2 linked regions of the Drosophila melanogaster genome follow. Changing the gene in region 2 together with the main gene of any one other region gives a genetic interaction. Each region holds a gene or a part of one and is shown on either strand. Other genes may lie near its edges.

Region 1 (5,086 bases), on a different chromosome or scaffold from region 2:
CAAGAAACGCGGTCGTCCACCACAGAACAAGTCGGGTAGCGGTGGCAGTACTGGCTACGTACCCACCGGTCGTCCGCGCGGTCGTCCAAAGGCCAATGCTGCACCCGTCGAGAAGCACGAGGACAATGACGACGATCAGGACGATGAGAACTCCGGGGAGGAGGAACACAGCTCGCCTGAGAAGACGGTAGTGGCGCCGAAGAAACGTGGACGTCCCTCTCTTGCCGCTGGCAAGGTGTCCAAAGAGGAAACAACAAAGCCCCGTAGTCGCCCAGCGAAAAATATTGATGACGATGCAGATGATGCTGATTCCGCCGATCAGGGCCAACACAACTCCAAGAAGGAGTCGAACGACGAGGACCGTGCCGTGGATGGGACACCAACCAAAGGAGATGGCCTCAAATGGAACTCCGATGGCGAAAATGATGCCAACGACGGTTATGTTTCGGATAACTACAACGATTCCGAATCGGTAGCTGCCTAAAACATACAATTTATAAACATTTCCACACACCCCTCCCCAAAAATCAACACAAAAAAAAAAGAATGTTGTAAAAGCAAAAAAAAAAAAACGAAAAAAAATCTGCAAGTAAGAGAAGAAAACACAAAAATGGATAGGACCTACTTGGACTTTAGAGAACCTTCCCCTCCTAAAACAACACACTTTGTCTACATATATATTCCGATTTATTGCTGAGAAATCGGACAAACCGTTTACAACTGCACTGCACTGTAATGACGACACATAGCTCGGAAAACGATTTCAACTTGGATTGAAATTACCAAATAAATAACACATAAATAACATATTTGGGGAAGATTTCAAGTTCCGAAGTAGAACTGAACTTTATTGTAACAACAAATTTGATTTGATTGCAGAAATTTCAATCGTATACAAGTTTAAATAAACCTACTATACCTAAAAAAATTTTGTGTAATTTAGTTTTTATATATATCATTTAACATATATTATCTATTGATATAAACCAGATGGAAAAATATGTAAATCCATGGTTGTATTGATTCTTTATATACAGTGTTCACTGTACTTTACATTATATGGTCACTCTGAAGAAAGTGAAGTTATAAACGGTAATTGTTGTAATGCTATTTTAACAACATTAAAACTAGGGCAACTAGTTAAATGCATTATAGAACATAAAAATCAATTAATTTCTCTAATGGGATAGTAAATGAAATTATAACTTACATATAGTAGTATGCTAAATTTTTGGTATCTTAGAACTATTGGAGAGTGTTTCTCAGTGCGCTTCGCAATGGTATATTTGAACGGTCGAGCTGCGGTCACACTAAATGTTCGCGCGTAAGAAGAAGCAGACCTAGAACGGCGTGCTTGTAATATGTAAATTTTTCAAATAAGCTAAGGTGTGAGTACCCAACAGCTATAAAATATGAAAAGTATTTTAAAACTGCCAGCCTTATGCTGATAGTTCGACAGCATTGTTTACATTTCCAATCGGCGGTAAATCACAATCAAATTTGCGGCTGCGAAAAAAGATCACAAATTGATAAAAAAAAAAGCCGCAAACAAAAACAAAACAAACACCCTGGTGCGTGTGTATGTATGCGCGAGTGTTGGTCTGTGAATGTGTGTGCTCAAGTGTGTGTTTGTGTGCGACTGGCGTCTGATCAAATTTGGCATGCCCCTAAAATCGATTGATAAATAATATATAAACAATTTGGCTGGGGCAGCGTAATTCATTTGCCAGGGTGAATATAAAAAAGGGGGTGATGATAAAAGAACAAGAAAATGTGTAATCAATTTATATAAATATTTTGCGCGCATGTTAATAAAAGTAAAATAAATTGTCGGTCTTTTGCGCTCGCACCCCCGCTCTTGCTCTCTCTCGCACTCTGTGGGCATGCTCACTCGTTCTCTCTGTTGATTTCGCACGTTTGCCAACACTGCTCTCATTTTGGGGGGTTCTTGTTCTCTCCTCTCTCTCTAGCTCTTTGTTGTAGTTGTATTTGGCCAGTGTGTCTTTGCATTTCGCTTTTATTATCGTTCTGCGACGGACGGCGGCGACGTTGAAGAAATTCCTGGCCGATTTCTTCTTCATCATCCTGTGTAAATAATTGTAATTTAAATAATCTAAATTTCGTATTTAACGAAAGCACACACACCATCAAATCAATGGAAATGCAAACGAGAAGGCTTTTTTAAGTGCATGTGTAAGTGTTTCAAAAAAGGAAATGAACAAAAAAAAACAGCTAAAAACCGTAAAGTACTCCTGTTTCGTTTTACATTGTCATCATCGGGTTTCCTTTTCCATTTCGGCGGCATGAGTGTATGTGTGCATTTCCAGACCGCTTTTTGTACATATGCAAACATGTATAAATAGTTTGCGAAATTAATTCGTATTTTGCCCGAAAAAGGTAAAAATCAATTAAGTGTGTGCCTGAATAATTTATATGATTCCTTTCTTTTTGTTTGGTTGGTGAACAAATTTTTCCGATTGTGCGTATGTGTGCGAATGTGTGTGTTTCATTATTTCCTTATACCATCGTGTTCTTCCTTTTGAGCGGTGGCCATTTGGCTGCTCTGCTTCTTCCTTCTCCCCGCGTCCCCCCGCCAAACCATTCAGCTCCCTCTTACGTGTGTGTGTGTGCTCTCTCGCTCTTTCTCTCTCTCGGGACGCCTTGCAATTGTATATATGTGCTTTTCCCAATAAGAACGCCTAACTACCAACTAAAATATTAAACAATTCAAATGGTTTTAATTCCTAATTACTTATTGGCCGCACCTCCTTTGTTTTGTCCGCCATCTCTTTTATGGTTTATCTTTATGTTTGTTTTTATATATACCCCCCTCCCCTAGAAGTGTGGGTGTGTGCGAGCTTCCAGGGGCACAGCATTCGCGTTCTCTCTCTTCCTTTTCGCATGCTGCACTTGTCTCTCCTTTTTTGGGGGGCTTCTTGGGAGGCACGAAAGGACCGAAAGGGAGAAATGGAGATATAATTCTCGTAAACAACCCAAAAACAAAAAAAAAAATAATAAAATAAAAGACCGACCCACTCGCATTCTTTTCGCTGAAAACGTAACCTCAAATGTTTGCGGCCGCCTTTCGCCTTCGTCTTCGTTTCGTTTTCTTCGCCATTCGTTCTGTCGCATTCGCTCATCGTCTGCCGGCATCGTTCTTGTTGTTGTTCTTGCTCCTCTGTGTGTATGTTAATTTTATATGTTTTCCATTTTCGACCGCCCCACCACCCCCCGCTATACGTCTTTCCGTGTGCTTTCCGCGGGAGGCGCTATAACAATAATTCTGTTCACAAGTTTTCCAGATATGTATAAATTCTTAGATGTTAAACAAGCCGCTATACGTCTTTCCGTGTGCTTTCCGCGGGAGGCGCTATAACAATAATTCTGTTCACAAGTTTTCCAGATATGTATAAATTCTTAGATGTTAAACAAGCCGATCTACAATGTAACCAGATTTTAAAAAGGGATTTTGTTTCTGTTTTCATTGGATTCCATATTTTGTACAATGGATATTATTATAATCCCAAACTATTATAGAATTTCATGTTAAAAGAGTAAAACAGGATTTGAATAATCAGATCTAAAGATCATTTTCATAATGTTGAAATGCAATGGTCCTAATGGTGATTTATAAAATTTCGTTAAAACCTTTTTGGAACTGCAACATAAACGCCATTGTTATCGTGTGCCAACTTTTTGTTACGGTTGCTAAGCACTTACGAATAGATAAAGTCTGAAAAGTTATGTATTGATAGTCACTGATAAAACTAGCCTGCATCGTAATTTATTAAGAGTATTAATCCAATCGGTCTTCAAAGAAACCAAATTATATTTTCCGTATTTTTCGAGCATGATTCAGCGCTGCGTTGTTCTTCTATGGATAGTCTGCTTCTGCGACTTGTTCTTGGGGCTCCTGTTCCTCAAACGTAAACGCAACGCACACACTCCCCCCCCCCCCCCGCAATTCACCACTTATCGGCATCTACTTTGTTATTGTTTTCGTAATGGGGAAATCATGGCTAATATTTGCCTTAGTCGTCTTTCAGTTTTAGAAGAAATTGTTTTGCTTTTACGCGTGCCTTGTGCGTTTTATTTTGTTGATTATTATTATGTGCCCTGTCTGCTGTCTGTGTTATCGGAATCTTTTCTTTACCATGACCAGCTCAAAGTTTTTAATCGCACAAAAGTACAGTGGTTCGAGTGTCGTATTGAATTGGGAATAAAAACTAGCATCATATAAAAAGTTATTTGATTCGAAATCGATAATTTCTCAACAATTTATTTCCAAAAACTACTGCGTTTACTAATCACAGTTTACACTTTAATTTCTCATTGCAGTTTGTGTATATTTTCATCATTAAAACGTCGTGTAAATTAAAATTCATCCTAATTATAATTAATAAACTACATTAATAAACGGAAATTCCACAATTCTCAACAAGAAATCTGTAAAAATTCAAGTTTTAACCAATTCTCATACGTAATTAAATAAATAAAGTTCAGTTTTGTTAAGTCCCAAAAACAACAGCTGTGCAACTGTGTAAAATATTATTCATAATTTTGTGTAAATTTATGTAAAAAAAAAAAAAAAAACAAACCAACCACGACAACCAAACCAAACGAAGCAAATTCAATTTTTTTGATCAAAAAGTGTGTGAAAAATCTCAGCAAAGCCTGTAAAATAAATATTAAATATATTAAGCAAAAAGTGTGGTTTCTTTTACAACAAAATAAATAAAAGCAAAAAACAAGTGTAAATCTGAAGCGAAAATTAAAAAAAAATTATATGTAACATTTGTGAATATTTCCGAGCGAATAGTGTTGCAAAACGCGCGTGTGGTTCTTTGTGCTGCAAGTTAAAATACAATTCAAGTTGGCAATACGCGCAAAATTGTCAGCTGCGATAGCTAGGAAAAGCCTCCAAAATTGAGCTCCTAACCGCGCCCACAATTGCCATATCGACGCCCTCGCCGCAGCAGCAACACCAACAGCAGCAGCAGCAGCAGCAGCAGCAACTCTATCAGCAACATCAACAGCAGCAGCAGCAACATTACGGTCCACCACCGCCCTACTTTCAACAGCTACA
Region 2 (4,970 bases):
GAATATTCTGAGTAAGCATCATACAATACTTTTATTCTTAGAAGAATCGGTTTATATTTATCCCAGCGCTTCATGCTGCAAAGCTTTTTTAGCATTTCATCAGCCGAACGTTTCTGTTTTGTGCGAATGGATTGCATTTGCTTTTTGTTTGTTTTGGAATCGTTATGTTGACACTCCTTATCTAGTGAGTTATCATCGAAACGGTGTTTGGTTTCCCCTTCTTATACATAGGTGTTCACTTTGGGGGAATCATGTTGCGAGTTCAGCAATTGTCTCACATTCTGCGGTTTTTAAAGAATTTTTGTTGATAGTGGAACATGATTCATGGAAAAAGCGAAAAAGCTGATATAACTACCGGAAATGTAAGTGAAGTGGAGTGACATATTTCGAAATTGTTTCAAAAACTCAACAATTCTTTTTATGTAATTTTTGTTTGGTAAATTCTCTTCATCAATTTTGAAATCTCTAAAAATATTTAAGCAGCTGTTTTCGAACGTCAAAGATTTCAGATCTGTTTGACATTTACGTCATTAGAAAAAGGTTATAGCCTCCATGTGCATATGAACGGGGGAAACTGCTGATTAAATACAGCTCCCAATAGGTTTCTAAAAAGTCTCCTTATCAAAATTGAGACACGCGTCAAAAAAAAAAAAAAAAAAAAAAAATGAAATGGTAGTAACTATCTGTTGTTTTGTCCTATCTACAGAGATAAATGCAATTTTCCCTGTTGTTCAAGGTGTTTAAAATAATTACCCGCAATTGGAGAGTTTGCATGCGGTTGTTGCATAATGTCAATCCTGATAAAAAAAAACCCAAGCAAGCCGCCACAAAGGTCACATTATCGTTTTAGATAATGTGCGACGATACGAATATGAACTTCGTTTTATTGGACTGTATTTTTGGTAATTGTTTTCTTCGACACTTTATGTGGAACAGTGTTTATTGAGCTGCCGTTCAATGGTCCAATCGATTTAAGAAGGCAAAAATGGCAACATGATAACAGAAACGAACTCAGGTGTTACGGAAATTAGTTGCGTCTAAAAATAATTAGTTTCTGTCGGGTCAGTTGTGGCAAATGAAGGGAAGGAAGGCGGTCAAGTGTAATGTCTGCTTCTGGTGGAAAATTGCGCAAGTGGCACATGTGTGCAAATTAGCGAAGCCGATTGACAGCCAGAACAGTAAAAAGAAATAAAGATAGGTTTTTGAATAATAATATAATATATAATATATATATATATTTTGAATAAATATATAAGGTATAAACCTACTATATCTGAATGCCCGTTTCTATGATACAATTTCAATTCCACTTTAAAATCGTTGGCTTAAAATCCGTACTTAATATTCATAATCCCAAAATCGTAAGATATGTAAATCAGATTTATTCTTGGAATATGCCAAATGGCCCGAAGGCCGCCCACGCAATCAACATGTTGCACCCACGTGCGCCCCTCTCTTTCTGCCTAGCACCTTTCTCTTTTTCACTTTGTTTGACACTTGCCTCTCCCTTGGACTCCCAGCCTCTGACGTCACAGTTTTACTGCGTCTTTGACTTTAGCTTGTAAATTTCTGTTATGCTAATTACCAACAGCGACAATAGCAACAAAATCAATAACACAAACAGAAAACGAGCGCGTAAAGCGAGGAAATGGTTACATCGTAAAGATATGGCCAAAAACAGGCGCACCTCAGTCGGCAAAAGTGATGAGATACACATACAGTGCGAAATAATAATTGTCATAAATAGTATTAAACGTTCAATGCCAAAGATAGATAGATAGATCTAAGATTAACGAATTCAAAGTGTATAGAAGTTAGTTTACTTCATCAATAGATTTAAAAGCAACAGAGCGATTTCAAGCACAAGGTAGATTTTGGATGCACATTTCTCTCAGTGCACCCATCCCATTTTGGCCCGAGCTCCTTTCGGCCATGTCCTTGATGACTCAGTTCGAATCGGTCTAAAAGTGTGTGGGCGTGGGTGCAGCAGTTCAGTGTGGGTGGGGCAGTTGCATTGACGTGTGTGTGCAGACAGCTATGATAGTAATCCATTTTATTTTTTCTTTTATGCGTGCTCTGCTAACAGTTAATTTCGTTTTGTTTTTTATTATATTTGTTTCGCTGGCATCGGGCGAACTTTCCCTTGGCTAAGTGCTCAATTACAGGTAAATTACGTATTGAAATTTAGCAAGAAACGTGGAGCATCAGCAAGTCAAATTGGGGAGAAACCTATTCGCAGCCATTGAACTATAGCACATGTATAAAAGCACTAACATCAAACTGCAATGGAAAGCGCGGGCAACCGAGGAAATGTTTATATTCCATTCATGACTCAGGAAAAACGTATTCTTTATAAAATGCCCGAAAACAAATCATCCAAATATATCCACAAATATCCACATATCAGCCAAAAAAATGTAGAAAGCCGTAATGCAAATAACGGGACAGGTGCAACGTGTTCGTTTTACGTTGACGTCGAAAATGCACGCGTGTCCCGTTTTTTTTTTTTTGACTGTCGAATTTTTCGGTTTTTATGAAAAGGTTTCGGTTTTAATTGTCACTTCGGCTATTTATGGTTCGCTAAAGCCGTTTTTTTCTCCTGCTTTTTGTTTTTCGTCTGCTTTCGTGGTTCTCATCTACAACATGGCACATCATTCTATAATTCTATACTTCTATTTCGAATGTTTTTTTGAATACATAACACATGTCTGTTATAGCAGCAGTTGCACTATGCTATTTTCAGACAAACCCAATTTATTCTGTGTTTCTGCCATGTGCTTCAAGTGTTGCCCTCTTTTCGCTTCCCTTGTCTTAAATCCGGCGACTGTACAGTAGTTCAGAATTTATGCTTACTTAATTGCTCCTTCTTTCTCTGAAGTGCTGACGAATTGGTGAATGCCGCGCAAATCAAACACTCCTCCCGGTCAATCGCCTTTTAGGCGAATAAAAGTTGTAATAATGCCAACAGTTTGGGCAGTTAAAAAATCGGAGATATCTCCCGCGACACAAAAAGCCGTGCGGACTGCGCGAACACCAAACAGCAACTAAAATGAGAAACACAGTCCCTGCTTAAATATAAATACTGAGAGAGCGCAACAGTGCTGCCGACATTTATTTTACTTTATTTTATAAGGCAAGATGTAAAAATATTATATTTTAGAATACGTAATAAATTATAGGTATAGATTATGCCTTTAGGAAAATTATGATTTTTATTATAAATATTTATAAATATTTTTTTAACTACCTTAAGTAAAAAGACAACAAAATGCCACTTAAGGAATTTTTGTCAAAATGGCTACGATTATTAGAATATTTTTACTTCTTAATGAATTATTCTTAGTAAACACAAAAAAATTAGGTAAGGCAAGTACGTATCTGATTTTACAGCTTGATTTATGAAATTTTAAAATCCGATCTGGCTTTTTTCCCGCTAAAACAAACAGCTTGTAAATGCAGAGAAAGAGAAAAGCCGGGTAAGAGAAAAAAATAAATACGGCTGAAAGGACGACAAGGACAGCGACACGATGCGCTGAATTTGAGAAGAGCAAGCGAGATATGTATATTCCGCAAATCCTAAAGGGCAAGGGCCTTCTCCACTTTTTGGATGACGAAATCTAAGACCGGCTTTCATAAGCGTGGCAAACTCTATATACTTTTTAGACTTGCCGGAAATGCGAAACTTTAAAGTTGGAGCTGCGGGTAGAAGCGGTAAGATCCTTGCACGAAATTGATAAACAGCATTGCATCAGCAATTAGGTTTCGGTGTTGTTTAAGTTCTGGGAATCGAACAAGATAACCACAATATTTACGTATTTATCCAACTTTTTGCTCTCTCTCACGTTGTTCAATAATAATTTCCACCCGCTCAACAGCAGGTAAATACGTCCAAAGTTCTACAACTTTCTACTGATGAAATTCACTTTAACACGGAACCGGTATGTTTTTGCTAGTCATTTATCACTTATCAATTTATTTGCGATATGCGAATGAACCAATTACGTTGAGGAGAGCCAAATAAAGAAGATACAAATGATGTCAGGATGGGTTGGTAGGATTAAGATCTTATATTGTGTTGCTGATGTTTGCATGATGAAAGATATGTTAGTTAGTATGATGCTAGGAATTGAACTTCAATATAGTATTACTTAAAATCATTGCCACTACTTTTAAATAATCTTTATTATCAACAAACATTCATTTTTCTTGAAAGAATAATAATTTATTATAATCAGAATAAATGGTCACAAATCCAAAAAAGGAAAATAATAAATATAAATAGATAGCGGGGCGTTTAATACTTATATTTAACATAAACTCGCGTGCCGAATGGGGCTATAAATATTATTATAGATAGCATGGTGACCAAGTGAATAGATAAGCATAAATTTCCCACAATCTCAATTGAAATTATTTTTATTAACAATTTCCTGGGACATAAAATTAATTTGAATTGTTAGATTTTGGGCGCAAACTGTTAAGTCACAGAATAAAATTAGTTCAAGTATTAAATAAGAATAAGAAAACTTCAACAAATTTGTTAAAATGTACGTTTTTATTCAAAGAATCTTGCAAATATTTTGTTACGCTTCAATTATTTCGATTTCGCATAAATCATATGAAACCGCTTGAATTTCATTTTGATTATCTGCAAATTCCACTCATGATGGTATACATTTCCTTTGCAATAAAACCTATGCGATTTAAAATCTACAAATGTAAAATGGTCGGGCTAACATGAATACAATTTGAGCAAGAATTAGAAATAAGATGGGAATTGCACACGGTTATAGTACTTTATTTGTAGGTGAGTTGATTCGAATCGATTCGATTATATCTGATTTGACCTGATAGATGTGAATAATACGAGGATGTCTGGTCTGACTGTGTCTGTAGTTTCTATGCTTTGGCTAGTTTGGAACTGCCATTCAGTTACTATGGAGTTGAGCTTGAGCTATGGTTAGGTTAGC

The links.
Region 1: of path (region 2) and pum, changing one suppresses a phenotype caused by changing the other (phenotypic suppression), as found in Drosophila melanogaster (one study listed by BioGRID).

Annotation. Positions count from the first base shown.
Region 1 is NT_033777.3:9,233,917-9,239,002, reverse strand, and holds the start of pum (pumilio), read left to right. Parts: upstream 1-1,977; 5' UTR 1,978-2,193; intron 2,194-4,338; 5' UTR 4,339-5,086. Other genes in the region: D1 chromosomal protein, read left to right, coding at 1-484. UniProt on the Drosophila melanogaster protein: Sequence-specific RNA-binding protein that acts as a post-transcriptional repressor by binding the 3'-UTR of mRNA targets.
Region 2 is NT_037436.4:9,502,279-9,507,248, forward strand, and holds the start of path (pathetic), read right to left. Parts: upstream 3,051-4,970; 5' UTR 2,854-3,050; intron 1-2,853. UniProt on the Drosophila melanogaster protein: Amino acid transporter which has pH-dependent electrogenic transport activity for alanine and glycine but not for proline. Plays a role in positive regulation of growth by directly or indirectly modulating the effects of the TOR signaling pathway.